Linked DNA regions of Drosophila melanogaster. The protein of the gene in region 1 purifies or fractionates together with the protein of each later gene. This does not show direct contact. Each region holds a gene or a part of one and is shown in the gene's direction. Other genes may lie near its edges.

Region 1 (8,159 bases):
TATCTATATATATATATATGTATATACATATAGTATATAACGAAGGTAATAACGCAAAACCAATATGCAATGCACAGGTTTTGGAACCACCAAGCATTGGGGCACTGGGAAGGACTAGATAACAAGAGCAGCACGGTCTGCAAAATATAACTAAGCGCGGAGACTAACAGCTAACAGACCACAGGAGTATTTCAAGTACAAAACATTATCGGCCGCAGCGGCGATCAGCTCAGAGCGTCTCCCTGGTGTCAAGCTCAACCAATGGCGGCACTGGCTCCAACTCCGCACTCTGGCTTCTGCTCCTACTTAGGCTGGGACTGGGGTTGCTCCTTGAACTTGGACTGGTGTGGTGGCTTGCGTCTGCACTGATATTACTTGGCTGATTTTGTTCATGGTTGTTATGCGGCGACGAGGTTGCCGGGGTCAGAGGAGCCGGAAGTGCTGGCGTGCCGGGCGGGGAGAGTGCTGGCGGAGTGAGTGGGGCAACGGCCACTTCCCTTGTCTGTGGCGGCCAGTGGATGGACCTTAAAACGCTTTGGCTGCTGCTGGAGGAAGTGGAGGGACTTTCAGCATGGCCTGAAGCCAACGAGGATCCCGAGGTAGAGGCAATATTGTCATCGTCAGTCTTGGCCGTCTTCTTCTCCTTCTCCCTCTTCTCGCGCTCCTTCTCCATGTCGGCTATCTTCTTTAAGTAGTTTTTGTCCTGGGTCGGACATTCGAGGTGGACGCAGTGGAAGATCTAAGAGCAAGGAGAGCATTAGCTTATCGGACATGTTTTGTGGCGCTGCACTGCTACGTACCTCATTCGCTGTGTTGCGTGTGCCCACAATGCGGATATAGACCACTGGACGCGGAGTAAAGTGAAAGTTCTGCCAGGAGCGGGTCCTGTCGTTGCGGCGGTCCACGACCATTTGCCATTCCTTGCGGTTCGTCGAAATTTCGATGTAGAAGCTGTAGGTGCGATCATCGCAGTCCCACAGCAACAGCCTCATTGAGCCCAAATAGTAGGGTTGGCCCAAACGGACGACGATCTCGCCGCTGCCCAATTGGTGGCAAGTATATCCCGAGTCCCAGTCGTAGCGCACATAATCGCCGTTGATAAGCGCGTTGCGGGTGCGACTCACGCCGTCCGTCACAATGGCGCTCATCTCTACGGTGGCCACGTTCGTCTTGGGCGCCACAAAATGGTTAACTAAACGCGGCACCTTGGCCGTGTGCATGGCTTCCAGACCCACAACATGGAATACCTATATATTAATGGAAAGGGAAAAAGTTAAAGAATGGGGAAAGTTTGAAGAGATCACTGCTGACTTACCCGGTTTACAGTGTTCTGGGTGCCCACCAGTCGAATGAATCTGACGGGTCGTGCTTCGAAGTATAAGTATTGCCAGGAGCGGCAGTGGTAGTCGCTGTAGTCGACCACGCGATCCCAATGCTGCTGGTCGCCGGACACCTCAACGTAGTAGGAGTACGCCCGGCTGTCTCTGTCCCAGAGCAGCATGCGAATGTGATTGATCATGCAGAACGTGCCCAATTCGACCACAATGCCCGCATCTTTGCTGTCCGTAATGCAGTGGCGCGTATACCCGTTCTCCATGTCATAGGTGGTCACATCTCCATCCAGCAGCGCGTCGCGACACTCTCCCTGGATGCAGCGCGACAAAAACGTCTCCGCGGCCACGTTTTCCTCCGGCCAGAGCGCCGCCCTGTAGGGCAGCGCCTTTGAAGTGCTGCGCTCGTCGATGGCGTCGAGAATCTTGTCGGGATCCAGGATGCCCGAGGGACGCACCACCTGCAGCAGATGCTCGAGGTTCATCAGTGGCAGGCGGACATAACTAACCACGGACTTGAAGTCCACGTTGCTATTGAAGCGGCTCCACTTCCACACGGCCAAAAAGATCTGCACCTCGGGGGCGAAGAAGCAGTCACGCCGTAGTACCTCCTCCAGCGATTCCTGTAAGCATTACATACTCTTAGTGCCAACTTTACCAATTGGTTGTGAACTTACCTTGGATAGCGTATTGAAGCTGTTGTGCAGCAGCAGGTCGCCGGCATTGCGATCCATGAACATTAGGCAAACCTCGGTGAGTTCCTCTAGATTGTATAGACGCGCCGCATCAAGAATCATGCAGACATTGTCCAAGGCCAGATACTGGCGTAAATAATTCGATATGGCCATCTCCAGATCCTGGAAACCATACTGATTGGCCATGCCCAGCACATCGATGGTGGAATCCTCGTCCAATGTGGACAGCAGCAGTGTGCCCGAGTAAATGTAGCGCAGCAGCACCTTGAACGCTTCCAGCGGCACCTCAAGCGGTATTTGGCGCTGTGTGGTCTCCGCCATGCCGCCGTACAGCAGCGCCCGGAAGTATTCGCTGCGTGCCGCGAGTATGACGCGGTGGGCGGGTATGCGCTCCTCCTCGACGATGAACTCCACGTCCGCGTACTGTTCGTTCATGCAGAGGCGCGCCATGTCCGCTGAGAAGCGATCGCCCAGATCGACCACGTCGGTGTAGTCCTGCTCCATGGCGCCCTTCTTGCCGCCGCCGGACATCTTATGGTGTCCCTGGCTGCTCATCCTTCTCTTTTTTGTTTTTCTTCCGTGCGATGTGTATTTATGTGTGTAAGCAGCCAGAGGGAACAGTTGACAATTAACGTTTCGTCTCGCCTGCTGCGTCAATCCATCGATGACAGTTAGTGATATCGATAATATCGATGGCACAATAGGGATTCTTCTATTGCGGCGAAAAACTGTTATATGTGCAGTGTGACCGTAGGTGTGTATACCATTTAACGCGTACAACAACCATATCGACAGCCGTCTGCTAGCGAGCACATGAACCACATGGTTGCATCCGATAACATTTAGCGAATACATGAACCAAATGGTGTCTGTCTAATATGCCACCACTATTAGCGCGTTTCGGGTTGGTGTCTCTGCGCGCTCACTGGTCACACACGGTCAGTCTAGCCACAGCAGTTAGCGAGTGCAGTCACCACAGTGCGAGTGCTTATCGATAAAACCAGCAAGTCATCGATTTTTAGACCGAAGCGCTCTGTCAACTGCTGCGCACGGTCACTCTACACAAGTATTTCGTACCGTTTGTACGAGAAAACAGAGAAGAGAAAAACACAAGCTCAGCAACGCATCGATATTCGGCACAGTCCCAAAAGCAAACGAAGTGATAGAAGCTGCGTTTCTTAGCCAATTACCTCTTCATTGCAATCATGAAGTTCCAATACAAGGAGGAGCACGCCTTCGAGAAGCGTCGCGCCGAGGGCGACAAGATCCGTCGCAAATATCCAGACCGTGTGCCCGTAAGTACTCAAAAATATATATATAAATGCATATAGGTATAAAGAGACGTGTGTGTGTGTGTATATATGCGTGCGAGTGTGTGTGTATGTGCGAGCTTCTGTGTATGCGTTTGTTTTGCGTCGTTTTTTTTCTCGCTCTTTTTTTTTGTGTTTGCACCGAAGAAAATCAATACTGCGCATATTGGGTATTTCGATTGTTATTACAATATTATTGCACTGGCACATCAGGTGGCTGGGGAAATTTGTGCGATGGGTATTGCATAAAGTGCATTTTGCATTACTGGTGGGGGGAACAGGCGACAAGCTCTCAAAAGAAATTCAAACGAAAATTCTGCCCCCTGCATACACACATACGCACGCATACACGCGCACACAGGCACACAGATGTCGACAGGAAAAAACAAAAGCAAAAAAAGGGAGAGAACAAAGCAGCCGTTTCACTTGCTCAGCTGTTGTGATGTTGTTGTTTTCAGTGCTAGATTTCATCTGTGCCACCTCTTCCTCTCCTCTATCCCACCCTCTGGCTACACAGCAAGAAAATCGCATATATCTATCTGTCATCATAATTTAGTTACAAGCAAAGTTTTGACCACCCCGTTTTTTTTCTGTGTGTGCACCAACCAGTTGTTTTCGATTTTAATTTCGTTTGTTTGTTGGCAAAACGAGCGAGTACTGCGCATAAAAAAAGTCACTAATACTCACTAATACACACTTATACTAGCGCTGCTTGTTTTGTTTTTCGCAAATACACAAAGTGCGACTGGAATTAGTCATAGATGCGCTGCTGAACACAAAACAAAAATAATAAAAAAAATGGAAAACAGAAAGGTTGAAAAAAACAAAAACATCTTCTGCTTCTTCTTTGTTGTTTTTCTGCTATGTATGTATGCATTTCACCACGTTATCAGCGAAAACTCCTTTCACAAAAACCAAAACAAAACCAAACGAAACGAAACGACAAACTGCTGAAGGTGCCCCAATCGCAGCGAAAAGTGCAGTTCTTGTTTTCGATTTTGATTCGGACTGCATATGCATATGTATATATGTACAAATATGTACATATGTGCGCTATATATGCACCCCCGAAATATTATTGCCAGTGTTATTTTAGTGTTTTTTTTTTTTGGCAAGTGCAGCAGTGCCAAATCACAAATCACATAACAGCTGAGCGAGGGGCAAGGCCAGCTGGTCGCTCGGACCACCAGCATATCCATATATATCCGAATTCTATAGAATATACTTAGTACATACATACGTACTAGCACATCTCATACTTGTGCCTTGAGTTCGGCCAATGACGATAACGAATTTCGATAGAACACTAGTGTATAGAGGGGTGGCATTCGCGACAAGCAGTTTTTGCCCATTTCGTATTCACTATGTTGGCACCCGCTTCCTGTTCCAAAAAAAAAAAATTGGACAAACCAGTTTGCCAATAATTTGGCTAAGGCTAACTAATGAGCCCCTGGCTAGAACGGATCGTCTAGTCTAGGCCAGCTAGCAATTATTCCAGAGCCAAGGAAATGCAGTAGATTCGTTACAAAGCTCACTTCAATGACCAACTTGGTCGTCTTGGTGATCAATTTGGCTAAAATGCTGTAAAATGTGTATGTGTTTTTGCATAATGAACAAAAAAAAACAGATGATACAGGTGAACTTGAATGTAAACAGGTGCTAGAAATCTTAATTATATTACAAAACATATACCCCTTGAAAAATGCATTGAATTTGGCTTAAAAATAATATGTGAACAAAAACACACGTGTGTGTAATTACACATTCCAACTTACGAAATTCCAAAATGCATTACGAAATTACTGACTGAAATTACGAAATTACTCATTTTCCTGTCTAAATATAATATGAGTCAGGCCAATAACAATCAGGTATAGTTGTTCGTAAACAAATTAGTTTTCAATTAATATTAAGGTATTTTGTACACTAGATAGCAAGCATCAGAATTCATAAGACTATAGTTTATGTTTTCGGCATTATCATATTCCAAGGTAGCACGTATTCGAGCACACTTGCTTCCAGCAATGCAAATGCCATTTGTAGCCAAATATGTGAGCCTTATTGGGCACGTAATCAGGTGCGAAATGTGCGCACATTAACATGCACAAGTAGCCCGCAACAACAACTCACCTCCTGTATTTCTTCTTCTATTTAAACCCAAAGGTCATCGTCGAGAAGGCTCCCAAGGCGCGCATCGGTGATTTGGACAAGAAGAAGTACCTGGTGCCTTCCGACCTGACCGTCGGTCAGTTCTACTTCCTCATTCGCAAGCGCATCCACCTGCGTCCCGAGGATGCCCTCTTCTTCTTTGTGAACAACGTCATTCCACCAACATCGGCTACCATGGGCTCCCTGTACCAGGTAATTACCACAATGCCCATTATTATTAGCCTTGCAATCGAATCACATACGTTCGATGTATTTTTATAGGAACATCACGAGGAGGACTATTTCCTGTACATTGCCTACTCCGATGAGAATGTTTACGGCATGGCCAAAATTAACTAACTTTGCTCCGGTCGGGATGCATCGGAATGAAGCCCCCCCCCTATACAGAAATCTATATATAAATAAAATATATTTTGTGTTTAGCATGCAAGCTTACAATATGGACGGCGAGTTAGCTAAACGAATTGAGGAAAACCGCAGGAAATGCCACATGAAAAGAACTTGAAATTGATCTGATACGCAGGGCAACAAAAAAAATCCACAAAAACCGAAAACTACAAAAACAATTGTTATGTGAACATTATTTTATATATATACATTTTCCAAACGCGTTAGTATTTCAATTAAACTCTGCTTTGTGTCCTACCCATTAACGAAACAACCAACCAACCAACTTTCCCCACAAAAAACAGATCTATTCACACCCTTTCTGGGCCATTTAATTTCCATTGCTGTAATTGATCCGTGCGAATGCTTTGTACTTTACTTTGTTACTTTGCTAATATTTCAATGAATTCACTATTTTTTTTTTTATTCACGATGCAACAAAATTCTGTGCATATTTAGTGTGTATGGTTACGAATAGGACTCTCTCGGTTAAGTGTACGGTAATTAATCTATTATTAAATAAACAAAAACCACAAAAATACACATGCAAAGGGTGTTTGTTTATTTGGATTGTTCTTCGTTTTCAGTTTGCAATCACGTATATCACGCTTAGATGATTCAGCGATAAGTGACAGGAAGAAGTTATTTTATACTGCTTTTTCTTTTGTTCACCGAACAATGAGTCCTTATCTTTTAAAAATGAAATGAGCTTTAGCAATGAGTGGGTGTTTTTTTTTATTCTTTGCTATTAGTAACAAAAGCATTTATTTATTTTAAATTGAAGGCGTAAAAGGTAGTACTTATGATACCATTCGCAACGCAAAAGTTTAAGTGTGCAAATTAAATTGAAAAGAAATCACTTTGTTTATTGTTTGCTTATCTTATCGCAGCAAAGGCACTTTGCTAGCCATTCAAAATTGCCGCCCACAAACGTTTTTATGGGCAGCACTGTCATCAAAACACAGCTGGTCACACCATCAAGTGCTGCAAAGCAATATCTCAAGTCAGCCATAAGGAGAGCATGTGCTAAAAAGGGACAGCTCCACACAATAAGTACGATTAAATTGCGATATATTTTTGGTAGTTAGTATTTTTGACGCATTTGGCGGACGACTGAGCACGTTTGAATTTCGTGGATTTTTTAGCCAATTTCACCATCTGGCAACACTGTTCGTTGGCCTCGCAGTTTTTCACCGAAAAGGTTTTGTAAAAACACCGTGCCAAACTGTCAGAGAAGCAGGTAAACTAAAGTCCACCTTGTCGGATCGGCCACTGAAAAGCCGGATTAAACAAACAACGGACACGTTACCGAACAGCTCGGAAAGGTGCAGAAAGGAAACATCAGATGAAAATCTATTAGCTGTTGCGAATTGTTTGTTTTTGCTGTGCTATTCGTGTTTTTGTTGTTGTGCATATGATTGTGTCTCTGTTGTTGTTGGTGGTGGTGTTGCTGTTGTAACTCGTGACGACGGAAATTAGTAACAAAGTGAAAATTGAGAGTTCAAAAAAGAAGAGAACCCCGAAATAACTGTTGTGTGGGTGCGATTGATTTTTATGCTTTGTCGTCTGGTTTGTTGTTCTTGCTGTCAGAGGGTGGTTGCAACGGAAAAGCAACCCACCACCCCCTGGGTTTTTGAACTCCAGCTTATGAAAAACAGCTGCAGCGATTGCCACACAAAAATTCAAATGTTTAAGTGAGAAAAGCGAAAGAGAAGTGAACTTAGCGCTTATTGAATTATGGCTAAACACGCTGACTAGACCAAATCGAAAGAACAAATGAGTGCTATAATAACAAAAGTGCCAGAAAGTGAAACAATAACAACAACAGCAACGACAGCAGTCGTGTTATTGTCCACTCAGCTTGTTTTTGTTGTTCGCTTTGTGGCCCTGTTTTTCGCTTCTGTTTTGCGCTTCTGATTCTGAAGTCGCCTGCTTCTTGTGCCGCCTCCCCTTCCTCCCACCATACATCCCTCCCTCCCTCTCTTTCTGACCGCCGTCTCTCTTTTTTACGCGCATGTGGATTCATTTTATTGGTGCTCAAGTATCGCATGATAATCTCACGCTACGTCCCTCGTAATTGTTGTTGTAATCGCTGTCGTTCTGTCAGCAGAATGTCTTTATTGTTATTGTTGTTGTTGTGCTTTTCCGCCTAACACACACTAACACGCGCACACACAGGCACACTTGCCGAAAAATTGAAGCCATTCTCGCCGCAAATCAAATTCAATTGAGGGAAACTATCAACTAACCCGCATAAAAGTGAGAAA
Region 2 (6,328 bases), on another chromosome or scaffold:
CTTCAAATGGTTCTCTTTCGCCCCCCTTTTTGGACCATAGAATTCGGAATCGTGGCGTTGCGAGATTTTCAGGTGATAGTGCGAAACTGCACCACTGTGCAATAATGAGAGTGAGAGTGCGGAGAAGAGGCGAAGAGAGGAGGAGAGTGCGCACAAGCGGGATGTGAGAGGGGAGTGGGTGAGGGAGCAGGAGGCGAGTGGCCAATCGCAGCTGGAACACATCAGTCAATAGGAAAATAAAAATAAGCCTCAGATCAGCCGAAAATTGGGTGTACTGATAAGAATGTTGGCTGATAATGCGGCAATTTATGATCCCCGATGGCCATGCCCACTCTCTTTTCGAAAGCAAAACGTCTGCTCTGCTCGGAGAAATTTAGCGGCAACTGGAACCCGCATGGCAACGCTATGGGAAAAGTGCAGCTATAGCTGCCACCAATACCAGTGCAGAACGGCGGAATACACAACCGTTAATACTGACACGCACACATATGCACGAAACGCACTTTGCACTACTGCAACAGCAACAATAATTGCGACAACGCGATAATTAAGGTGCGGACCATTAATTTATGCTCACTCCAGGCTTCAAAAGCCAGTTGAATAGCGGAGAAATTTCGGACGAACGCCGGCTAACGCTTTCCATCTCTTTCCCGCAGCGACGTCGCGTTGGCAGCGTCCTCCTAAAGAACTCTAACTTCATTAACGGCTAACAGTTCGGCCACTTCTACGTGAAGAGTTTTACATTAGTTAGCTGCAGTGTAATAAGCTCATATCATTCTTTTTAGCACCGATTGCAATAAATTATTCACTTTTAGACGGCAGTTCTACAAGTTTATACCTTCGTTTTTCTTTTCACTAAAGCAATGTGACCAGAGTACGTAATGTACTAAGCCAGACCACTTAACTTAAACAGTGTTACCAGAGGTGTGAGAAAATTCAAATTTATAGTGTTTCTGATTTCATTTAAGTTTGAATAATAAGTTTGGGTTAAAAAAGCTAACAAAATAAATATATTACCTATATACTAGTTTTCCAATAAAACTATAAAAGATAAAACAACACACATTCAACATTCACCTTTTATCGATCTGGGATCAGAGCCTTATGCTTGGAATCGAGTGATATACTTAAGTCGCACTCACCAACAAAACCTCCTTTAAATCATCTAGGTGACCTTCGTTTCTCTTGCTTCCCTGCAGTTCTTCGTTCAGATTCGCCACATCTTGCAGAAAAGAGTGATACACAGTCGACGTAGCCAACTCATGGGTAGACGTGGTCCAATTGTCGTCTAGGAAAAGATAGAAATTCAATATTAGATAACACATTAACGTTAAGTGTGGGTGGTACTTTTAAACAAAAATCCAATTAAATGAATTTTCACAGCTGTAGATCGTACTTATAGCTTTCAGAAGCAGTAGACTAGGCAACTGTTGCTTCTTGTAGTTCATGCGCCACACCCTGAGGCAATCATCTCTGCCGCTGCTGAGCAGACAACTAATACAGCCTTCGATCTCATTAGTCTGCTTGGATCCGGCGCTTATTTCCCGGAAGAGCGTAAGGAATATGTTGGCATGCCTCACAGGACTGTTGATATAGTGTTGCTACACACAGGAGGAAGAAAGGTCAGTGAAACAATGGGACAACTATCAATTGTTTTCGTCCTTACAAGCAACAAACGCGCACTACGCTTCAGACTTTGCTGCCATTCCTTGGGCAGGTGGTTATAGGGTGCATTGAGCGCATTGTAAGTGGCAAAGAACTCCTGCTGGTTGATCTGCAGAGGATCCGCTGTCTTCCGGACAGCTGCTGCACTCAGAGCCCGCTCCATATACTCGACCACAAACTTGGTGTACTGCTTTAGCTCCAGGTTGGGCAGCATCAGGTTCTGCCACACGCGAACGCCCTCGTTTAGGGACTGATAGCCACCTTGTCCAATTGCCCACAGGATGCTCAGGCAGATGTTGCTACGGTTCTGATAGGAGTTCCTTAGCAACGCAGTCTTGGCCAGGTTCCTAGAACAAATGTTCGGCCAGTTTTGACCGATCAACTGTAGGATGAGCTTGTAGCCTGCCACTGTCTGATTGTTGTTTAGATCCGTTGACATGCTATCCAGCAGGGAGTAGAAGAAATACTCCAGGTTTTGTTCGCCCACACTGCCCAGAAACTCCACAATTGAGTACTTGAGCGAGGCGCTGGCCAAATTGCTGGGATACTGAGCCGAGCGGCCGGAGAAGATGGGATCGCAGTCATAGGACAAGGCTTCATTGAAGTATAGCGCAATCTGGGGGACAACGATAGGTGAGCAAATATTTAGGCACATTTCCTTTAGAAACATACATGGCTTAACCAGCGCAGCTCGGAGCCAGGACAACTGAGCTTCACCTGCTCCAGTTGGGCAGCAAAATCATCCCGGGTGATGTTTCTCAAGGCCAGCTCCAGAGTCTTTGGCTTCGATGCGGCTGCCGACGTGGTCCTTTTTTGGGTAGAGGCATTCTTTGCGGTGTGCTTTTTAACTGGCGACTTATTGGCTTTTGAGGAAGATGAGGCACTTGAACTAGATTTCGCAGGGGAATGGGACTTGCTGTTGTTGTTGTTGCTGCTGCCGAACAAATTGCGATACCGCTGAGTTGGCACTGCGAAGTGAATAAAATGGCAGGGGCAAACATGTAATCGCATTGCAAGGTGCACCTTTTAAAAGATTCTTACACAGCTCCTCCAGTTTGGGCAACTGGGCCGCGATGCGCTTCTGCTCGTTGTGTGCAGACACCTTCTTGTCCAGATTCTTTTGCTTGCGCGACTTGGAGACCACCTCCCATTGTTCCGACATGTTGCGAGCAGTCTTTTTATCGATGGTATTAAATTAAATCAGAAAATGCAGGCAGCCGGCAGAATAAAAAGCAACAAGCCAAGAGTGTGGCCAGCGCAAGTGTAAAGTAATGTGGTCTACTTTCGGTAGTTGAATTACCGACCGCTTTTTAATGTGATTTTAAAGCAGCTGCCTGCTTTTTGTTGTGATACATGTAATAGATAAATAAATAAATTTAGCTATGTTTTAAATGTGTTTGAATAACTGCCAATGCAGGAGAAACCATTTTCTTTACCAGGGCTGAAACGCATACCAAAGTTGTAAAGCCTCTGCGATATATACTATGTTTGCTACATTGGTCACACTGCTCTGCTTGTTTACATTTACAAATTGTAAAATATTATTATTTAATAGCTGCTTTAAATCATAGTTTCTATATATAAATAACAAAAATGGCTGCCTCGCGATCACGGCGCAACAATGCCGGCAACAAAATAGCTCATTTGCTCAATGAGGAAGAGGAGGACGACTTTTACAAAACGTCCTATGGTGGATTTCAGGAGGACGAAGAGGATAAGGAATACGAGTGAGCACTAATCATTTGAATAAATTTAAATGCTCAAGCCATATAAAATTCACTCTGCAGGCAAAAAGACGAAGAGGAAGATGTGGTTGACTCCGACTTCAGTATCGATGAGAACGACGAGCCCGTTTCGGATCAGGAAGAGGCGCCCGAGAAAAAGCGGAAACGCGGTGTCGTTAACACAAAGGCTTATAAGGTGCGAACCATTCTTAAAATGCGATAAAATCCTGTGATTACTGAATGTGTTTAAATGGTACATATGATTTCCGCAGGAAACCAAGCCTGCAGTCAAAAAGGAAACAAAGGCAACGCCGGCCCTGCACAAGAAACGACCTGGTGGTGGGGTAACGAAACGGCGGCCACGTCCACGCTTCACGGTCCTCGATTCCGGCCGCAAATCCATACGCACTTCCACGGCCATCAAGACACAGGCTACCAAAATACGCCTCAAAGAGTTGGACGATGCCCGCAAGCGCAAAAAGAAGAAGGTGCGCGTGGAGGACTACATGCCCACGCAGGAGGAGCTGCTGGAGGAGGCCAAAATAACCGAGGAAGAAAACACTAAATCTTTGGGTGGGTATCTAAAGCAACCAAGGAAGCAGCTATTTTACAATTTGCTGTTGCATTCACAGAGAAATTCCAGAAAATGGAGCTGGAGAAGAAGAAATCACGTCCCACCAAGCGCACGTTCTCCGGACCCACGATACGCTACCACTCACTAACCATGCCAGCGATGCGAAAGCCCACTCGCGGAGCAAACCCTGCGGTCGATTCAAAGGATCTTGCTGGGAAGTGCGAACGCACATTCGTTACAATCGAGAACGATTTCAATGACAAGGTGTTTCAAAGCCTCTTCCGCCACAAGGCGCCTCCCAAAGCCAGCAATGGCATCTGTCCAATCACCAGGCTGCCAGCCCGTTACTTTGACCCGATCACACAGCAGCCATACTACAGCATCCAGGCCTTCAAAATTCTGCGCGAAGCCTACTACATGCAGCTGGAACAGCAAGGCGGCGGCAGCGAGCAACCCGAACTGGCCAAATGGCTGGAATGGCGCAAGCTGGTCAAGGAGAATCGTCTGAAGGCTTCGGCAGCTGCCAGCAAAAACGGAGATAACTAATAATGCTATCAATTTTATAGTTCATTAAGCTATACGTATTTTTCGAATAAAAAGGTATAAGAAATCACAAACTACTCTTTGGACAACCCTCGTCAATTTCAGGCAGTACCAAACGATTACCTAATATATTTCATACAATGGCGACAATGGAAAAGTAGTACATAGGGTATTTCCCAAAACGTTATCTTTAAAAAGTATTTATAATCAACGCACAGTCTGTTTTGATTTTATTTATCAGCAGCATCCGGTTTATTAACTTAAGAAGTTGATAAAACAGTTTACACAAAAGAAAGTTTATCTTGCTAATCCAATTTGTATATGTAAAACCCATTTATTACCTTTTAGTATCTAATTTTAATTGCCGCTCTATTTAAAAGTTTAGTTGTCTAAATAATAAAAGCGTCGCAGTCTTCTATTAAGATTATTCAAAAGAATTGTTTCGCTTAATTTGCGTCAAATTGATAAGCACACAGCCTCTCTTTGCAATATATAACAAAATCTGGAGGAAATGCGGTTGTTCCGACACACAATAACTAATTAATAAGTATGAGACATTACATCACATAAATTATTAACCCATTGTATTCTCTATTTATAATCTATGGGCGAAGTATTGTTCATTTCCGAATGAAATTGTTTTTCAATCCTAAACTCTTACAGGGAATTAGTTGAGTGGGCCCTGCCGCAACCTTGTCGCATCTGTATGTTTTTGTCGACTTATCAAAATCAACGCACGCGCTGGCTATTTGAATTGTCGGAACGGGAACGGGACAAGGTATTGTGTGAGCAAGATTTAGTCATACCCGTGAGCTTAGATCAAACGAACGTCGTGCGTTTAAACGGAGAAATGAAGAGCTGTGCGGCGATTGGAGTCCTTCTGGTACTGCTACTTCAGTACGAAGTGGTTAGGACGGACAGCGATAGCAGCGACAGCAGCAGCAGCAGCAGTGGAGAGAAGAAGCACAAGCACTCCAAGACGGAGCACAAGTACAATTATCCTGCATATCCTAATCCGGGCTATCCTCCGTATCAAGAAATGGGAGGCTATCCTTCATATCTCTACAATCCGTACATGCCGTATCCTCCGTATCCTCAAATGGGAGGCTATCCTTCATATCCCTACAATCTGTACATGCCCCCACCACCACCACCACCGCCACACCCGCAACAAGCTCCGCCACCATCAATGTATCCACCCGACCCGTCCGGATATCCAGGCGGCTATCCACCGCAGGGGGCTCCCGGACAGAATCCAGTTAACAACCCAAATGCGATCCCCAATCAGCCTCAGGCACAGCAGCCTGCCAGCGGCCCGGGATCAGGGCCTGCCCCGAACTATCCTCCAGGCGGCTCGAGCGTTATTAATCATTCCCTTAAGGTCAACAAGGAATACAACGAGGACGGTCACCACCAATCTTCAACGTAGTCGCAGTCGAGATACAATGTTACATGAAACTTTAAACGTCGGATTGGGCCTCAAGTTTCAAGTCGGCCTTCAATACAATGTAGCAAAGTCGAATTAAAGATTTAAACAGTACTTGGAATTTTCACAATTTTCACAGTCTTTGATTAAATAAAAGAAAGAAATGTTCTCTTACCATTGTAAATAAAGACATTACTGAAAAGGTAAAACGAGATATTTTAGTATCACATATATTTCATAATATAAAAGGTACTTGAATATGTTTTATACACAAATGTACAAAATCATGTATGTACATATTAGGCAGTCTACTTTTCCACTATTGTGCTGTGGTTATACAAGTGCACGTGGTAGACGTAGCTGTTCATGCATTTCTGGATACTGAGCACTAGTGGG
Region 3 (7,053 bases), on another chromosome or scaffold:
TTAGAACTGAATAGTTTTGAGCTGTATACCCACAAGATATCATTATGCTTAGCAGAGTTACTTTTTCGTTAGAAAGTATCTTTTTTTGAAAAGTGAGCATTCGGTTTGCCTATTTTTTAGCAATCAGCTTCTGTTCGCTGGGAAAGCTGGCGAAATCGCAGAGCTTTGCTGCCGAGCCACAAAAGCTGTGCACTGCAGTTGGTTCGCTGCCGTCGTGAGGTGCAGTTGGAAAATCGCGAGAAAAATCAATTTTCCGAAAACTCCAAGCGTTCGCTGAAAATCCGCATCCATGAAGTGGGAGAACTACTGCGACTTTGTGGCCGGATGCTTTGGTGGTGAGTGACGGAGCGGCAGAGCTCCAGCTGGTATTCATCCCAATTTGGTCAGAACTCTGGGCCATGCATGACGCAATGCAGCAGCCGTGTGGCGATAGGCCACTTGTTGAGGGGAACTGCCTCAGTCCCGGCGGAAAACGGGCGCCATGGTCAAGTTCACGTGCGGCGCCCCTGATCCATCGGATTCTTGGCAAGCGGCTGTCGGCGGCGGCGGCCGTTCAACATGTGTTGTTTAACTTTGTGGCCACAATTTTAATTAATTTATGCTGCATTCTTGATTTTTATACTCTGATATTCAGGTGCCTGCGGGGTGCTGGTGGCCCACCCACTCGACACGATCAAAGTTTGGCAACAGGCCTCAAATTCATCCGTTGTGACAGCCATTCAACAGATCTACAGCAGAAATAATGGGGTAAGTTTGGAAAGAAGGATTGCGTCTAGTTGGAAACTTTTTTTCAAGGATACAAATTTTATGTGAAATATTTGGATAACGATGTACATGTCGATCTTCCAATCTCCTTTTTTATTCATAACTTTTCAAATATTTAAACCAGCCAAAATGGCTTTGTCCTATTCTTAATCCCGACTCCGACTGGACGCAATCCCTTAGAGCGCCTAGGTGGGTCGTGATGGGTTTAATCGATCAGCATCGCCTCAAAGGTCAACGGCTTCTACAGGGGCATGTTCTTCCCGTTCATCTCGACGGGAGCGATCAACTCGCTGCTTTTCGGCATCTATGGAAACCATCTGCGGCAGCTGAGAAAGGTGTGCCACAGTGACTACCAGCGGGAGCAGCTGGAGTACCACAACATGTTCCTGGCGGGCTCTGTGGCGGGATTCGTGCAGTCCTTCATCGCCTGTCCCATGGAGCTGATCAAGGTTCGCCTGCAGACAGCCACTTGTGGGTTCTACTTGATTTTTTAATCCCAAAATGGAGGATTAATTTGTGAAATTCCGTAGATTACAGTGACTATCTGTATGGCCAGAGAAGGACCGCCTTTGGCACGTTCAAAAGGATACTCAAGACTGATGGCATCTCGGGGCTCTATCGCGGCCTTTTGCCCATGATGTGCCGGTAAGTTAGTCCAGGTGGTAGTCCAAAAATACATGAATCTTTCAATGGTCGTTTGGTTACAGCGACGTCCTGCCCTATGGAATCTATATGCTGGCCTATCGCCAGGGCGTTGACTACATGGACAGGCGGGACTTTGTGCGCCGGCGACGCAGTCAGTCGGACGGATCCAGTGTGAACCTGCTGGTGACCACGCTGGCCGGCGCCTGGGCGGGAGTCATCTCGTGGGTGTGTGTCATTCCGTTCGACGTGGTCAAGACGCTGATGCAGGCGGATGAGAATCACAAGTACCGGGGCATCTTCCATTGCGTGCGGGTGCAGTACAGAGCCTACGGCTGGAGGAGCATCTTCCGCGGCAGCTGGATGCTGGTGGCGCGGGCGGTTCCCTTCAATGCCGCCACTTTCCTGGGCTACGAGTATGCGCTGGAGTGGTGTCAGCGGTGGAACGGCACCTACGTATGACCCAGGCAGTCTGGTGGAGATTAGGAGCCTTAGTTTGTATGCTGTGTACATTGTTGTCAACTGAGAATGAGTGTGATCGAAAAATGCAAACCTATTCTATAATTTACTTCAATGCTGTTTAACAGCACTAACAAATAGCTTTAATTGCCTCACTTTGTAAACGTTTTATCGTATCAACACGGGCTTAATATTTTCGAAATGCACCTCAATTTTGTAAGCTTTAAAATTAAAATGATGACAAATTGCGTCCATGAACAAGGTTATATTGCTGAGTATTTGAGATCTGCCTCTAAAGTTAGATCTAATTTTTTTAAAAATCTTTGGTTTGAACAATAGGAACAAGTTTTTGAATTTAGAAAACATTCAAATCGGTTTGAGTATGCGCTATCCGTGTTATCAACCATTTCTATGAATGTTGAAAACATCGAATTGGTGTGACCGCACTGCCAGAAGGCGAGTGTGTAACTCCGCAGTTTATTAGCACTGTTCTGCGAACGGTCACACCGAGTCGAACGATGAACAACAACACAACATCGCGTCGCGTTCGTTAAAAAACAGAGATAAACGCAAATCGAAGTAACAAAGTGTACATACAGCGTGCTATTTTTCTTATTTTCATCGTGCTGCACTTAATGACCCATGTCCAGTGAATATATGGGCAGACACATATGGTCAGCGCAAAAACGCAGCGAGTTGCAATGAGCAGCCGCCGAAAAAAATGGCAGGAAAAATTGTGCAAGTGAATTAATGTCGAATTGCGCACAATTTAATCTTAATTTTATTAGTGGTAGTATGTGCAGTTGTTTGTGGAGCCGCGAAAAGTTCGCAAAGTTCGCTGATTTTGCGAACGGGAGGCTCGCAATCGAAATAACGGTGTACAAGAAGACGAAGAGAAAAACAAACTGAAAAGCAGAGCAAACGGAAAGCAGAAAGACCAAAAGTCGGACAAAAACGCAACAGAGTGAATTGTGTTTCCACTGCTGCCCCCCACCCCCATTTCTTTTACCACCCCTCCCCCCATTGACAATCCATCCCAAAAAAATCAAATTACGTGGCAAGTGGTCAGGCGAGAACAACAACAACAACAACAAGAACAAAACCTGCTGCTGCAAGTTTTTTCCTATTTTTTTTGTTTGGTACCCATCTCTTTGCTTTTGGTTTACTGTACGTGCTGAAAACGCCCCCCAAATCCGCACCACCCACCACCCAAATAAACAAATAAAGGAGTACAAGAATCCCGCGTAGCCACCCCCATCGCCACCATCGAAATGTCGTCACTCAAGGTCGCCGTAAGGGTTCGACCCTTCAACTCCCGGTAAGCCCAGATATCCTACGCCTATTTATAGACACAGCCATGGTCAAGGAAATAGCAACACTGCAAATAGAATCTACACAGAAATAGGGTAGTCAAACTTAGCTTAGATCAACAAAAAGCACAGCTAAATATTCAAGATTATGTTTCTATGAATATGAATATTATCTTTAAAAAAAAACTACAATTCCCAATCTTAATCAAAAACTGAAATATTAAGTTGGTTGTGGAATATGTTCTAACAATCTCTTTTATTACTCAAAAAGCAGCTTTAATTTAGATTTTGAAAAATATGACTAAGCAATGGGGTGACGATGACTTTAAACAAAAAAGATATAGATTTGCCTTATTATTATGACCTCACTTATCATTATCATTATAGGAGAATGTTTGTTTGTTGGGCTTTCTATCGCGTATTAACTTTAAAACGCCCCTTGAAAAAAAGTATGGAATTTGGTTGCGCATTTCACTTAAAAAGCACAAAAGTGTCTAGAAAACAAATTTCGTTACAAAAAACCCCTTGAAATACATGTAAAAAGTGTACTAGACTGCCTACTTAAAACCACATTAAACCTTTTTATTTTTACCAGCCTTGTCTATGATCGTTAAGCATTTATGTTGCTGCTTGTTTTTTATTTTTATTTATTTTTTTTGTGTCTTTATCTTGGCTATCTGGCGCAGCGGTCATTGCTTTTGGCACAGTTACTTGCGAATAAAACCGAATCGAGAAAAGCGTTCGAAAGAAAGACGAACGCACCGAGAAGTTGGCAGAAGTGCCTCACAAAGAAAGATATGTACATATGTGTGCTAAGAAAGATACATTCCGTAATGATGTCATTCATCTCTGGCGTTCGATATAAAAATCACATTAACCCAAACAAAACGAGCTTTGTGCGCTGTGAGTTTACGGCTGCCGTGTGTTAATTGTGCATGAAATAAAACAACATTATCAGCGGCAAATGCTGTAATTATAATGGCAAAAAGTGGAGCTAACTCCCTGCCGCGTTGTGACATCATCGTTTTGGCTCAAACTTATGCAAAGCAGCTACTCACTATGACAGGGAGCACTCGATAAGGCAAACGGATACAAGTTGGATTAGTAGTCGATGATCACTTTGAATAATAATCCTAATTAGCAGTGTACATATGTACAAACCTCTTTAAATTTTTTAAGAGAAACCCGTTCTCCTTTTGGCAGCATTCACTGTAAATATTTTTGCATAGTTTCTTTGGCCTCCGGACGGACATTTTTAGCACATATTTCCACGGCTCCTCAGTGGACATGCAAGACTGACTGCTCACAGTAGCCTCCATGCGAAAACAAAAGCAGATATCTACTATAATTACGTATATATGTAAGTGTGCTTTATAGGCACTGCACCCGAAAAAAAGCAAACCAAATAAACATTTTTGATTTTGGCACGAAACTGGCCGAGCAAGTTCCACATCCCATCGCTCATGAGTCACAGCAGCGAAATTTGCTGGTGTCCCGCATAAATGTTTAATTGGGAAATGAATCAGATGCCGCAAAGAATTTCCCGCTGTTTGCCGGAGTTTTCTCGCTTCCCGTAATCTCCAGCTGGATGATGCACTCGCATTGGGCCAAAGATTAACGAATTAAAGCCACTCAAACGCAATGAGTACTGCGTCGACTTGAGTGGAGCGGCGTAATCGTGGCAGCCCATGTTGAAGATGGGGGGAATGACCCAAAATTGTCGCTCGAAATGGGACAAGGCACTACGGCTGCCATGGGATTCCTAGAGCTTTACAGTCGCAGAACAAACACCCTTTTCACTGCAAAGAAGACAGAACATTTGAGTAAAAGTTAAACAGTACAATCATGGGAACAACCCAACTCTCAAAGGTACAGAGAACAATTGGGGAAATAAATGAATACACAAAATTACAATAATCTACGCTAATAACTAATTGTTCCCCCAAATCTCACGATCTTCCCATAGTGCCGAATACAGACTGTAAATGAATGATGTGATCTTCTTCTGTCCATCTTGGCCTTAAAGTTATGATAGACGTCTATTTGGATCTATGAAGATGCTAAATCCACGTTTTTCCACTTTTTCGATGCCTGCTATCGTGCATCTTTTGTTTGCTTAGAGGCGCCTTTGCATGTGTTACTTTTTCAGCTGAAGTCTATTTCGATGTGTGGGTGCCCCTATGAACTCCAGTCAACCGGTTCGGTTCCATCTTTAAACGAATGTTCTATCTATGCCCAGACGCGAGTTTTTCATCTCTCTCTCTCTTTTTTTTATTTGCGCCGCTTTTCCTTTTGATGTTGCAATCAAGTCGTCGGTTGTTTCTTCTTCATTTCTGTATTCGCTACAAACCGGATTTTCTTTTATAATTTGTATCCAGCTAGCTGTGGAGCGTCGAGTCGTCTGATCACAGGGCTAACATGTCAATTGGATTGCATGGGCCAGTCCATTTCCCGTCCATTTCCATTTCCATTCGCGTGAACCAAGAAACGCCCCCTGAATTTTCGCCATTTGTTTGGGGTCATGCAAAAATCGTTAATAAGAATATTTATGAGCCAGCGGCTCGGTCTATTTATAATCCAACACGAAAGGCACCAGAAGGGGACGGGCTGTGCGGAGGTGTATGCAAATGCCTATCCATTATATGTAGCTTTAACTTAACACAAGTTAAGAGCCAGAGATCCATTATGTAATGTAATAATAAAGTAAGTAAATAAAACTGTCATCTTTACTTCCCATTGCAGCGAGATCGACATGGACGCGCAGCTCATCATGGAGATGGAGAACAAGAAGACGCGTCTGCTGAAGCCACGTTTGCAGTCCATTCGCGATGCCGGGCGGGACAATCATCACGACTTCACCTTCGACTACTCCTATTGGTCATTCGATGCGGAGGATCCGCACTTCGCCACCCAGGAGCAGGTTTACAGCGATCTGGGCAATGATGTCGTGGATTGCGCCTACGAAGGTGAGCCAAGGTCCCATTTGGGGTCACACCATTCGATTACATAATTGTGACGCGCGAGCCCCCAGCTAATTGAGCGAATATTGGTCTACGCTTTGGCTTTTAGTCCATTTCCCACACTATGCACTGCAAAAAGCTTCAAGTAATTCGAACTTTATATAGACTTTAGAATTCGCGTGAGAGGTACCTCTGAAATTAGGAAACTTAAAGAGTTAAAAGGCAACTACAGCCATCTTCTTACTATAGATTTAGATATAACCCATTTTCATTGTTGCAAATAGGTATATATTTATTTTCTGTGCACATTTTCCATTAGCCCCACACCGAGAGCGAGTTTTCTTCATTCTGTTTGCCTGCACTCACGGTTTTGTTTACATTTTCCCTGTGCGTCTGTTTATTGGCTTTGATATTGGGTGTTCGCCCGCTTTTTTCCCAAATTTTCTGCTGTGTAAACAATATTGCGGCTCTAAAAATATAAAAAAAAGAGTGTATACGAGTGTATACCACAAAAAAATGCAGGCTGAAACGCTCTGCTGGCGACTAATTGCAAATGAATTTAAGTTTGTATGCAAGTAGGTGCAGTTAGCAATAATCATGCGAATTTCCTGCTACCGGATGGATGACCGCCGCTCCAGAGGATTCCACAGATTTCGAGAAGTACGGGAAAATTTTCCAACTGCCAAAAACTTGTATTTCGTTGGCCATTTTGCGATTAAGTATTTAGTTTACCCTCTGGCAAGGTGGCATAAATAGTTGTTGCGCAATTACTATATACAATATAAATTTTATTGGATTAATTCAAGAGGTATAATTAAAACTTAACTGTTGCTCACGATTTGTATTTTGTTTAGTTAATAGTTTTAAATACATTTTGAGGCTCCTCACTTGCCATTTCAAGGCTCTAGAGTACGTAA
Region 4 (8,689 bases), on another chromosome or scaffold:
ACATTTTGAACATTTGAATTATTCCTTTGTACGCGCACAAATTTATGTATGTATGCTATACTATCCTACCGCAACAAAAAGGATGCGCAGACAGTGCCCATCGAAACCAGCAGTATTTTAGCTTTTTGTAAATCAATATAAACATAAGCACACCCACCTTGTAGCGTTCTAGTTCTAGCAGCACAGCTAATACTTATACAGAAATTACTTTGCGACAAATTAACTGATTTCAATTCAACCGACGCCGATACAAACAAATTATAACCAACGCGCTAGTGGGACCTTAGCTACCACGCGGAGAAATACCACGTGCTGCCGATCATCGTTTTGCTTTCGATAAGTCACGATGGTTCACGTCTTGGAATTTCTACATCTATATGTAAAAAAAAAAAAAAAAAAATTATCAGAATAGTGAAACAGTACAACCAACTTTAAAGTTGTAATAATTAAAATTGTTTGTAAATGTGGTTTAATATCATGTATACCATTTATTTTATAAATATCCACCAGCTGGTTGGACATCTGGCAACTCCTGTCATTACATGCTTTCAGTGTCGAGCGTTTTCCAGCACTTGCATGTTTACCTTAAGAAGAAGAGTAGAAAAAATCGTTGTGTAGTGGCAAAATAAATAAATACAGATGTGAGTAGCAGTAAATAAAACATACAAAGTGCAAAAAAGGCATAAAAAGTGCATGACCCTCGCATAGTTTAGTTTCCAGCTGGGAAACCTTTTATTTGTCTACGATCGTACATTTATCTGCATGTGAAAACCTCAATGAAACAAAGGGAGAAATTAACGGTGTATTTTCCCAGCCGATTTACGTGGTTATATACATAAATATATGAAGTATCTGTGAGATCTTGAAATCCCTGGTGATAAAGTGTAAATGTTTGTCCTGCATTGCGGTAATCTCTTACAACAAAGTGGTTTGTTTTAAGTGGCCTTCTTTCGAGTTCAGTTTCAATGGCCTTTATCAGCTGTTTGGCACATGGCGTTGGAAGTGCGGGTGTGTGTATGTATGTAAATAGTATGTACAGTACGTACGTGTGTGCAAGGGTGACAGCTGTCGCCCCAGGGAGAGCAATGTAAGTGAGTAATATTTGTTTATGTGAAAGCAAAGTTCAACGGTACCTGCAAACACACAAACACACATCCCCAACATCCGTGCTGATTACGCTGCTGTTTTCACCTACACCGACGTACCACTGTGACAGTGTGTAAGGTTTTGCCTCTTCAGCATGATTCGGCACTATTTCGTCCAGTTTTTGCCTTTATCATTCATTTACCAACAACCAACTCAGCGTCACTTTATGCGGAAATTTAAAGCCGCACTTTGATGAACTAATGTTATTAAAGGGCGTGGATTTTCCAAAGTACGTTTGATTCGCCATAATACTTATATGGGATTTTTGGCGGGGGAAGTCCCTTTTGCCCTTATCTGATTAAACAAAAATATTTGTGTAGTACATATGTAGTGGTTTTAATTTGGTGATTCAGATAAGAAAAACATACGATAAATTTTAAACGTTTTGTAAACATTTCTCTAGAATAAATAATAAAATTAAAGGATAATCTTTGAAAGGGTTTTGTGTCTTAATATTATTAAATGAAAAAAAAAAATATTTCATTATTGTAGTTACTTCATTTAATGCGAAAAATTTTTTTAAGTGTGTATCAGTGATATTAATATTTCTATCGTCATGTGTATAAGGCGTTCATAAATTGAAATTGTTTTGGGAACATGACTTGATACTTCAAAATTTATTGCCTTTTCAATTGAGCTTGGTAACAATGATTAATCGGATATACCGTACAATATTGTGTATATGGCCATTTATGTTGTGAAATTCCCTTAAGACAGAACTCCGATCATGACTAAAATACTATGCAATAAAAAATAGAGAGACGTAATCTCTTTTAAACATATTCCACGATATGCGCATACGAAATTAGCTTAGCTTTTTGTTTTGATTGTATTCAATAGTTCATTTGGCACGGACTTTGAACACATTTTAGCTATCTTTTGAACAAAACGAAATTCCTAACTGCTTGCATGACACGCGTAATTTTTTTGCAAACGCTGTGTAGCCTGAGGCTCCATACAAAAACCTGTTGCTGGTAAACATGGTAAACAATTATGTTTGCCATCGGTTACGATTTGTGAGCATCATCGTTACGGTCCAAAAAACCGCCCACGGGCCGTGCGTTTCATTCATGGCATTATATAGTTTTTATCGCCACAACACGGAGTGTATTCACCTGGAAGGGCCACATAGAACTCAGGCACATGTGTGCACACACACACATATGTAAGCATGATAACGCTCTTTGAAACGCTCCCCCCACTCCGCCACCATCCCCGCGAGAGATAAGTCTCGGTGGGCTCTGTGGCTGGGCAGACGCAGACCACGGCAGTCAGTTGACGGGCTCTCTCCACGGCACACGCATGATCGCCGGAGCGGATTTGCGGAGAAGCAGCTGATCGCGCGCTTTCATTTTCACACGGACTTTCAGTCTTTGTTTGCGAAACTATTGATTATTGAAACTATCTCTACCGAACTAACGAAGCTGTGAAGGATCCCTATCGATCCGAGATTAGTGCCAAAATGCAAACCCAAATGCACTCGCCCATGCAATATGAGACCCACATCTCCGACATGCCCAACCACAAGGGATACCCCTGCCGCCCAGAAGGTTGGTTTTTTTTAAAGTTCTGGATTTGACCTTGGGTCTACAGTTCAATTCGCAACAAGTTTGCCAGATATTTTCGCTACGCGTGCTTTTGGTAAAAAAAAAAGAAACCACTGATCATGACGGTGCGCATTGCGAATCAAGTTCTCTGAAACAGCCCACAATGATTGGCGAAAACGATTCCAGATTGTGCTACAGTGAAGTCACTTGTAGTTGAATGTGAGATGATAAAAATTAATGGAGTGAAACGGCACTTATCCAGGTTGCATTGCTCGATTTGGACGTTTGAATAATTAGAGACATTTGAAATATTATCGCGAAAGAAACTGGTTTGTGTTGACAATGCAAATTCCGGTTGGCAATGTAGTATCCATTCGAAAGAGTGTTCTTGAAATAAACAGATAATTTACCTTAATCTTATCTTAGTTTTCTAATCGAGAGCTTATAAATCTTTAAGCCCAATTTACCAAATTACCAACTCATAAACTTACCAACTTATTCGCATTCAAAAACAAAATAAATGACCGCTTTAATTTCTAGAACGTATTAAAGGTCGGTCGTATCTAACCTTTCGGTTATCTTGGATATCCATAATATAGTACGTCATTTCACACTTGGAGGATTTCTTTAAAGTGCCATTTTTAATTTTTTTGCAAATTCATAACAGATTAGATAATAAAATAGAATAAATAGCCCGCGCTGATTGTCGATCTATTTGCGATGGATGAGGTACGAGGTACAAGGGTTACAGGGCTCAACTGTAGGGCGTGTATTGGTTTTAAGATTAATAATAATTAATAATAATTAATTACTATTTAATATAATTATTAATTATTATTAAATTAATTGTTAAATAATTAAAATTAATTGAATATTTTCTGAAATATGTCCTGGAATTACAATATGATCTATTCCTCGATTTTCCAGAGGCTGAGATGAGCAACACTTCGGAAAGTTGTTCCATCTCATGCGGTGGTCGATTCGGATCGGCGCACTCGACCCTAGATGATCACGATGCTACGGATGATGACATGACCTTCTGCATGTCCAATTACGCCAAGGAGGCCCTGAAGATGATGTACATGATGCGTTCGCACGGCATGCTCACGGACGTGGTACTCGAGGTGAAGAAGGAGCTCTTTCCCGCCCACAAAGTGGTGCTGTCGGCGGCATCGCCCTACTTCAAGGCCATGTTCACGGGGGGACTCAAGGAGTCGGAGATGTCGCGCGTCCAGCTCCAAGGGGTAAGTTGAGCTCAAGCGCGGCCCTTAATTGGTTGGTTTAATGGATGAACAGTTCGTCCGTTTCGGTGTTACAGGTGTGTCCCACGGCCATGTCACGCATCCTCTACTTCATGTACACCGGCCAAATACGTGTGACCGAGGTAACGGTGTGCCAACTCCTGCCCGCGGCCACCATGTTCCAAGTGCCAAACGTAATCGATGCCTGCTGTGCCTTTCTGGAGCGCCAATTGGATCCCACGAATGCCATTGGCATCGCCCACTTTGCTGAGCAACACGGCTGTGTTGAGCTGCAAAAGAAGGCCAATGTGTTTATTGAGCGAAATTTCACTCAGGTAACCTATTTACGATATGAAAAGAGTACACAAAACTATAGCTACTGAGTTCCCCTAAGGTGTGCCAAGAGGAGGAATTCCTGCAGCTTTCGGCATATCAGTTGATTGCCCTGATACGAAGGGATGAACTGAATGTGCAGGAGGAGCGAGAGGTTTACAACGCTGTGCTAAAGTGGGTGAAATACGACGAGGACAATCGACACTGTAAAATGGAGCACATTTTGGGCGCTGTCCGTTGTCAGTTCCTTACGCCCAACTTCCTCAAGGAGCAGATGAAAAACTGCGATGTTCTGCGAAAGGTGCCCGCCTGTCGGGAGTATTTGGCCAAGATCTTTAAGGACTTAACGCTGCACAAGTGTCCAGGAGTCAAGGAACGAACCCCCAACACCACAAGGATGATATTTGTCGCCGGTGGCTTTTTTCGTCACTCACTGGACATTCTGGAGGCCTACAATGTAGACGACATGACGTGGACGACACTGGCAAATCTACGCATTCCAAGATCTGGTTTGGGTGCCGCCTTTCTCAAGGGCAAGTTCTATGCGGTTGGAGGCAGAAATAACAACATTGGATCTTCCTACGACTCGGATTGGGTGGATCGCTATAGTGCAGTCACCGAAACATGGCGTCCGTGCGCTCCCATGTCCGTGCCACGCCATCGAGTGGGCGTGGCCGTGATGGACGAGCTGATGTACGCCGTAGGCGGGTCCGCCGGCATGGAGTACCACAACACGGTGGAATAGTAAGTAGTGTTCATCATTTCAATAGATAATAGTTTAATTAATTTGACAAAGCCTTTCTGGTTGTTTATTCTATCGACATAGTTTAGCAAACCCTATTTATTTAAATCTCTTGCAGCTATGACCCCGATTTGGATCGCTGGACTCTTGTACAGCCGATGCATGCCAAGCGCTTGGGAGTGGGTGTTGTGGTGGTCAACCGTCTGCTTTATGCCATCGGAGGTTTCGATGGAAACGAGCGCTTGGCCAGCGTGGAGTGCTACCATCCGGAGAACAATGAGTGGAGTTTTTTGCCACCACTACAAACGGGTCGCAGTGGAGCGGGTAAGAATGACTGGCGCATCCTGTTATCTAATTTCCAACTAAGTTCCGATTTAATTGCTATCAGGTGTTGCTGCAATTAACCAGTACATCTACGTTGTTGGTGGCTTCGATGGCACCCGTCAACTAGCCACCGTGGAGCGTTATGATACCGAAAACGATACCTGGGACATGGTTGCGCCAATTCAAATCGCACGCAGTGCTCTCTCGCTGACTCCGCTGGACGAAAAACTGTACGCCATTGGTGGATTCGATGGCAACAACTTTCTGTCCATAGTCGAGGTCTACGATCCACGAACAAATACGTGGACAACAGGAACACCACTAAAATCGGGAAGATCGGGTCATGCGTCGGCGGTTATTTATCAGCCGGCGTGTTCCACCACGTTTATGGACTACGAAGATAGTGACGCCCCACACCCGGATGGAAGTAACAACGGGGAAAGGAATGCTCATACACCACAAAACACGTACGGCAGTGGGAGTCCACATTATCCTGGGACGGCGTCCAATATGCAGTTTCATACTTCATACGGAATGAGCGGCTGCAACAATTGTGACTCGGAAATGGATATAAAACCATATATTCCTGCAGAACACCATAGTTTTCAAATTCCCGCCATTAGATCCGAGGAGCTAGTCAATCCAAACTGTCCTTGGTCCAGAATGCAGGAAAGATTTCGAAGAACTCCACCAGCGTCTTTCACAGATGATGAGAGAAATGCTAATGATATGCGGCATAAATTAAAAAAAGCACAAAAAGAATGTTTATTTAGCACAGCAGCGAAAGTTTTTCACCATCACATCGAAGGTCGCCTGCGAAAACTCACGAGCGCAGCCACATGACAATACGAATCCGAGCCTCACGCTTAGCCTCAACCAAAAACATCATTCATTGTACAAAGCCTGATCGTATCCCCTAGAATTCCATGTTGAGAAGCAGCATTCCATTGTAATATTACTTACTAGTGTGTTCGCTAGGTGATAATTAGTCAAACCGTTTTTATGGCATCCATAACATAACTGGCGCTCGTCAGCCCATTTTAAAAAGATTGATTAGGGTTAATAGTTGATTAGTGGGAGGAAAGTTCGTATTTTACGTATTTTGTAGGTATCCAAACTGATAGATTGCGTATTGTACTTTTTTTAACGTAGGATAAGAAGAGGAATTATGCGCATCCAAAATAGGTTTTAAGAAAAGAAAGCAAATAATTTAAGAAAAATAAAACAAACATATTTTACAAAGTTATTTAATCTTTTTGCTATTAATCTTGTGCAAACCTTTGGCCGTGGCAACAAAAAGGCCATATTCAAATATCTTCCTAATAAAACTCACCGTGACAGTGCTATTTATTCCATTAGAAAGATAAACTGTTGTTTTCGTATTTGTTTGTAAACGACTATTTGTGTATTTTGCTTTTAAACAAGTTGTCTTAACAAGTTGCACATTAAAGACTTCTCTGCTTTCGGGGTCTTGGAGGATTGAAGGAAACATGTGTGTTGTCGGTAATGGAAACGATGTTCAGCCCACCCATTTGCAGTCCTTTGATGGCCGACTGAATCAAAACATTTAATTATTTTTAAGTGACATGAGAGACAAAAAGTATTGAACATACCATTCTTCCAGGGCCAAGACCACGAACCTTTACTCGCACTGTCTTCCAGCCCAATTCAATGGCTTTCTGAAATACAATTTAAGTTTTTTGTTTTAAATGATTCTATGCCCATATTATACTATTCAAATGCATATATGGTATACAACTATAATGGAGATTATCTCGATGTTCTATGTAGTTTTTGACCATCCTACTTTGGTAAAACCTGTTTCTTGTGGAAATGACTTACTCCACTAATGGTAACCGCTGTAGCTTGAGCTGCTATGTTGGTTCCCTTGCGAGTGTTTTTGAATCCCTCAATTCCACAGGATCGTATCAGCCGGAGGACTCCTGGAAAGAGGGATACTTTAGATCACAGTTAGAGTAACGTTCCAGATGACCCACCTTTGTGATCCGTGACGGAAATAATTGTGTTGTTGGGTGAAACGCGAATGTTGCAGATGGGCAGCTCGTTGAAGGGTATTCCATTGAATAACGTGTTGGCGGTGCTGGCATCCGGGAAAAACTTAGCCTTGCTAAATGGAAAATTAATTGAATTCAAGACTATTTACAAATGTAAAATTGAATTCCAACCGGTTGATAAGTGTGTCGATGTCCACGGTCTTTTCGCCCACGGTTCCTTCGTCTTTGGCCGGTAAAGATGCCAGCATTTCCTTGCGGTCCTCCGCCTTCCGCCAGCAAGCGCTCGTGTGTATCCTAGAAGTCTGGAGCGGCACAGCGGGCATAGTAATACTCCGAAGAGCACTTAGAAATACACTTTTCAGTGACATTATTAATTTACTTCGCAGAGGGTTCACAAAAACCAAATTACATCACACTGCCAGTCTGGCAACACTGGCAGTGTTGGCTAGCACGCCACAACAAGTGGCCACGCTTCGTGGTGACTGACAAAAAGTCAAGAAGAAGACTATTTTCACGTGTTCTTGTTTTAAGTTGGTTTTGATTCCGGTTATCCTCGTGTAAAATGGCTTTAAAAAGGTTGAAGAGTAAGTAATAGTATATATGTATATACATTAAATGAAGCTCTACATCTATTGTCAAAATCCACAGCCAAGAAATCCAAGAGGCTCACCGGTCGCTTGAAGCACAAGATCGAAAAGAAGGTGCGGGACCACAACAAAAAGGAACGTCGCGCAGCCAAGAAGAATCCAAAGAAGGGTAGCAAGAAACAGAAGCTCATCCAGATCCCAAACATCTGTCCCTTCAAGGATGACATCCTCAAGGAGGTGGAGGAGGCCAAGCAACGTCAGGAGGCCGAACGTTTGGCTCGCCGCGAAGCCTTTAAGGCGGAACGCGAACAGAACAAGTTCAAGACGCTGGAGTCCATGGTCGAGGATGCAGACATGCGGAGCACCGTGCACGGAATAATGCACGAAAACGATGCCCAGGATCAGGACGAAAAGAAGTACAAGAACGCCGTGACCAAAGAGCAGTCATTGAAGCAGTACTTCAAGGAATTCCGCAAGGTGATAGAAAATGCCGACGTTGTCCTGGAGGTGGTTGATGCACGTGACCCCCTGGGAACCCGCTGCAATGAGGTTGAGCGCGCCGTTCGCGGTGCTCCGGGCAACAAGCGACTGGTCCTGGTGCTCAACAAAGCCGACCTGGTGCCGCGAGAGAATCTGAACAACTGGATCAAGTACTTCCGTCGCAGCGGACCTGTCACCGCCTTCAAGGCTTCCACACAGGATCAGGCCAACCGGCTGGGACGCCGCAAACTCCGCGAAATGAAAACCGAGAAGG

What was found.
Region 2: the proteins of Atg8a (region 1) and YL-1 purify together in Drosophila melanogaster (affinity purification with western blotting, with the first as the bait; one study listed by BioGRID). This does not show direct contact.
Region 3: the proteins of Atg8a (region 1) and Klp98A purify together in Drosophila melanogaster (affinity purification with western blotting, with the first as the bait; one study listed by BioGRID). This does not show direct contact.
Region 4: the proteins of Atg8a (region 1) and Keap1 purify together in Drosophila melanogaster (affinity purification with western blotting, with the first as the bait; one study listed by BioGRID). This does not show direct contact.

What each region holds. Positions count from the first base shown.
Region 1 is NC_004354.4:10,763,143-10,771,301, reverse strand, and holds Atg8a (Autophagy-related 8a), read left to right. Parts: upstream 1-2,963; 5' UTR 2,964-3,231; coding exon 3,232-3,321; intron 3,322-3,995; exon of another isoform or gene 3,996-4,134; coding exon of another isoform or gene 4,135-4,149; intron 4,150-4,645; exon of another isoform or gene 4,646-4,924; coding exon of another isoform or gene 4,925-4,972; intron 4,973-5,499; coding exon 5,500-5,697; intron 5,698-5,766; coding exon 5,767-5,844; 3' UTR 5,845-6,424; downstream 6,425-8,159. Other genes in the region: BTBD9 (BTB (POZ) domain containing 9), read right to left, coding at 230-739, 801-1,247, 1,316-1,954, 2,009-2,581.
Region 2 is NT_033779.5:10,967,296-10,973,623, forward strand, and holds YL-1 (YL-1), read left to right. Parts: upstream 1-3,147; 5' UTR 3,148-3,258; coding exon 3,259-3,392; intron 3,393-3,452; coding exon 3,453-3,585; intron 3,586-3,661; coding exon 3,662-3,962; intron 3,963-4,021; coding exon 4,022-4,509; 3' UTR 4,510-4,798; downstream 4,799-6,328. Other genes in the region: Tmem214 (transmembrane protein 214), read right to left, coding at 1,143-1,288, 1,397-1,601, 1,667-2,281, 2,338-2,633, 2,707-2,827; CG16743 (uncharacterized protein), read left to right, coding at 5,213-5,935; abo (abnormal oocyte), read right to left, coding at 6,241-6,328. UniProt on the Drosophila melanogaster protein: Part of the Tip60 chromatin-remodeling complex which is involved in DNA repair. Upon induction of DNA double-strand breaks, this complex acetylates phosphorylated H2AV in nucleosomes and exchanges it with unmodified H2AV.
Region 3 is NT_033777.3:27,554,457-27,561,509, reverse strand, and holds the start of Klp98A (Kinesin-like protein at 98A), read left to right. Parts: upstream 1-2,364; 5' UTR 2,365-3,137; coding exon 3,138-3,184; intron 3,185-5,918; coding exon 5,919-6,142; intron 6,143-7,053. Other genes in the region: CG5646 (uncharacterized protein), read left to right, coding at 290-335, 635-747, 996-1,236, 1,296-1,410, 1,473-1,869. UniProt on the Drosophila melanogaster protein: Plus end-directed motor protein involved in asymmetric cell division of sensory organ precursor (SOP) cells by playing a role in the asymmetric localization of Sara-expressing endosomes to the pIIa daughter cell but not to the pIIb cell.
Region 4 is NT_033777.3:17,071,825-17,080,513, reverse strand, and holds Keap1 (Keap1), read left to right. Parts: upstream 1-2,411; 5' UTR 2,412-2,608; coding exon 2,609-2,696; intron 2,697-3,620; coding exon 3,621-3,937; intron 3,938-4,011; coding exon 4,012-4,269; intron 4,270-4,328; coding exon 4,329-5,011; intron 5,012-5,127; coding exon 5,128-5,333; intron 5,334-5,397; coding exon 5,398-6,176; 3' UTR 6,177-6,572; downstream 6,573-8,689. Other genes in the region: mRpS11 (mitochondrial ribosomal protein S11), read right to left, coding at 6,779-6,886, 6,947-7,012, 7,176-7,276, 7,331-7,461, 7,520-7,716; Ns1 (nucleostemin 1), read left to right, coding at 7,911-7,932, 7,997-8,689.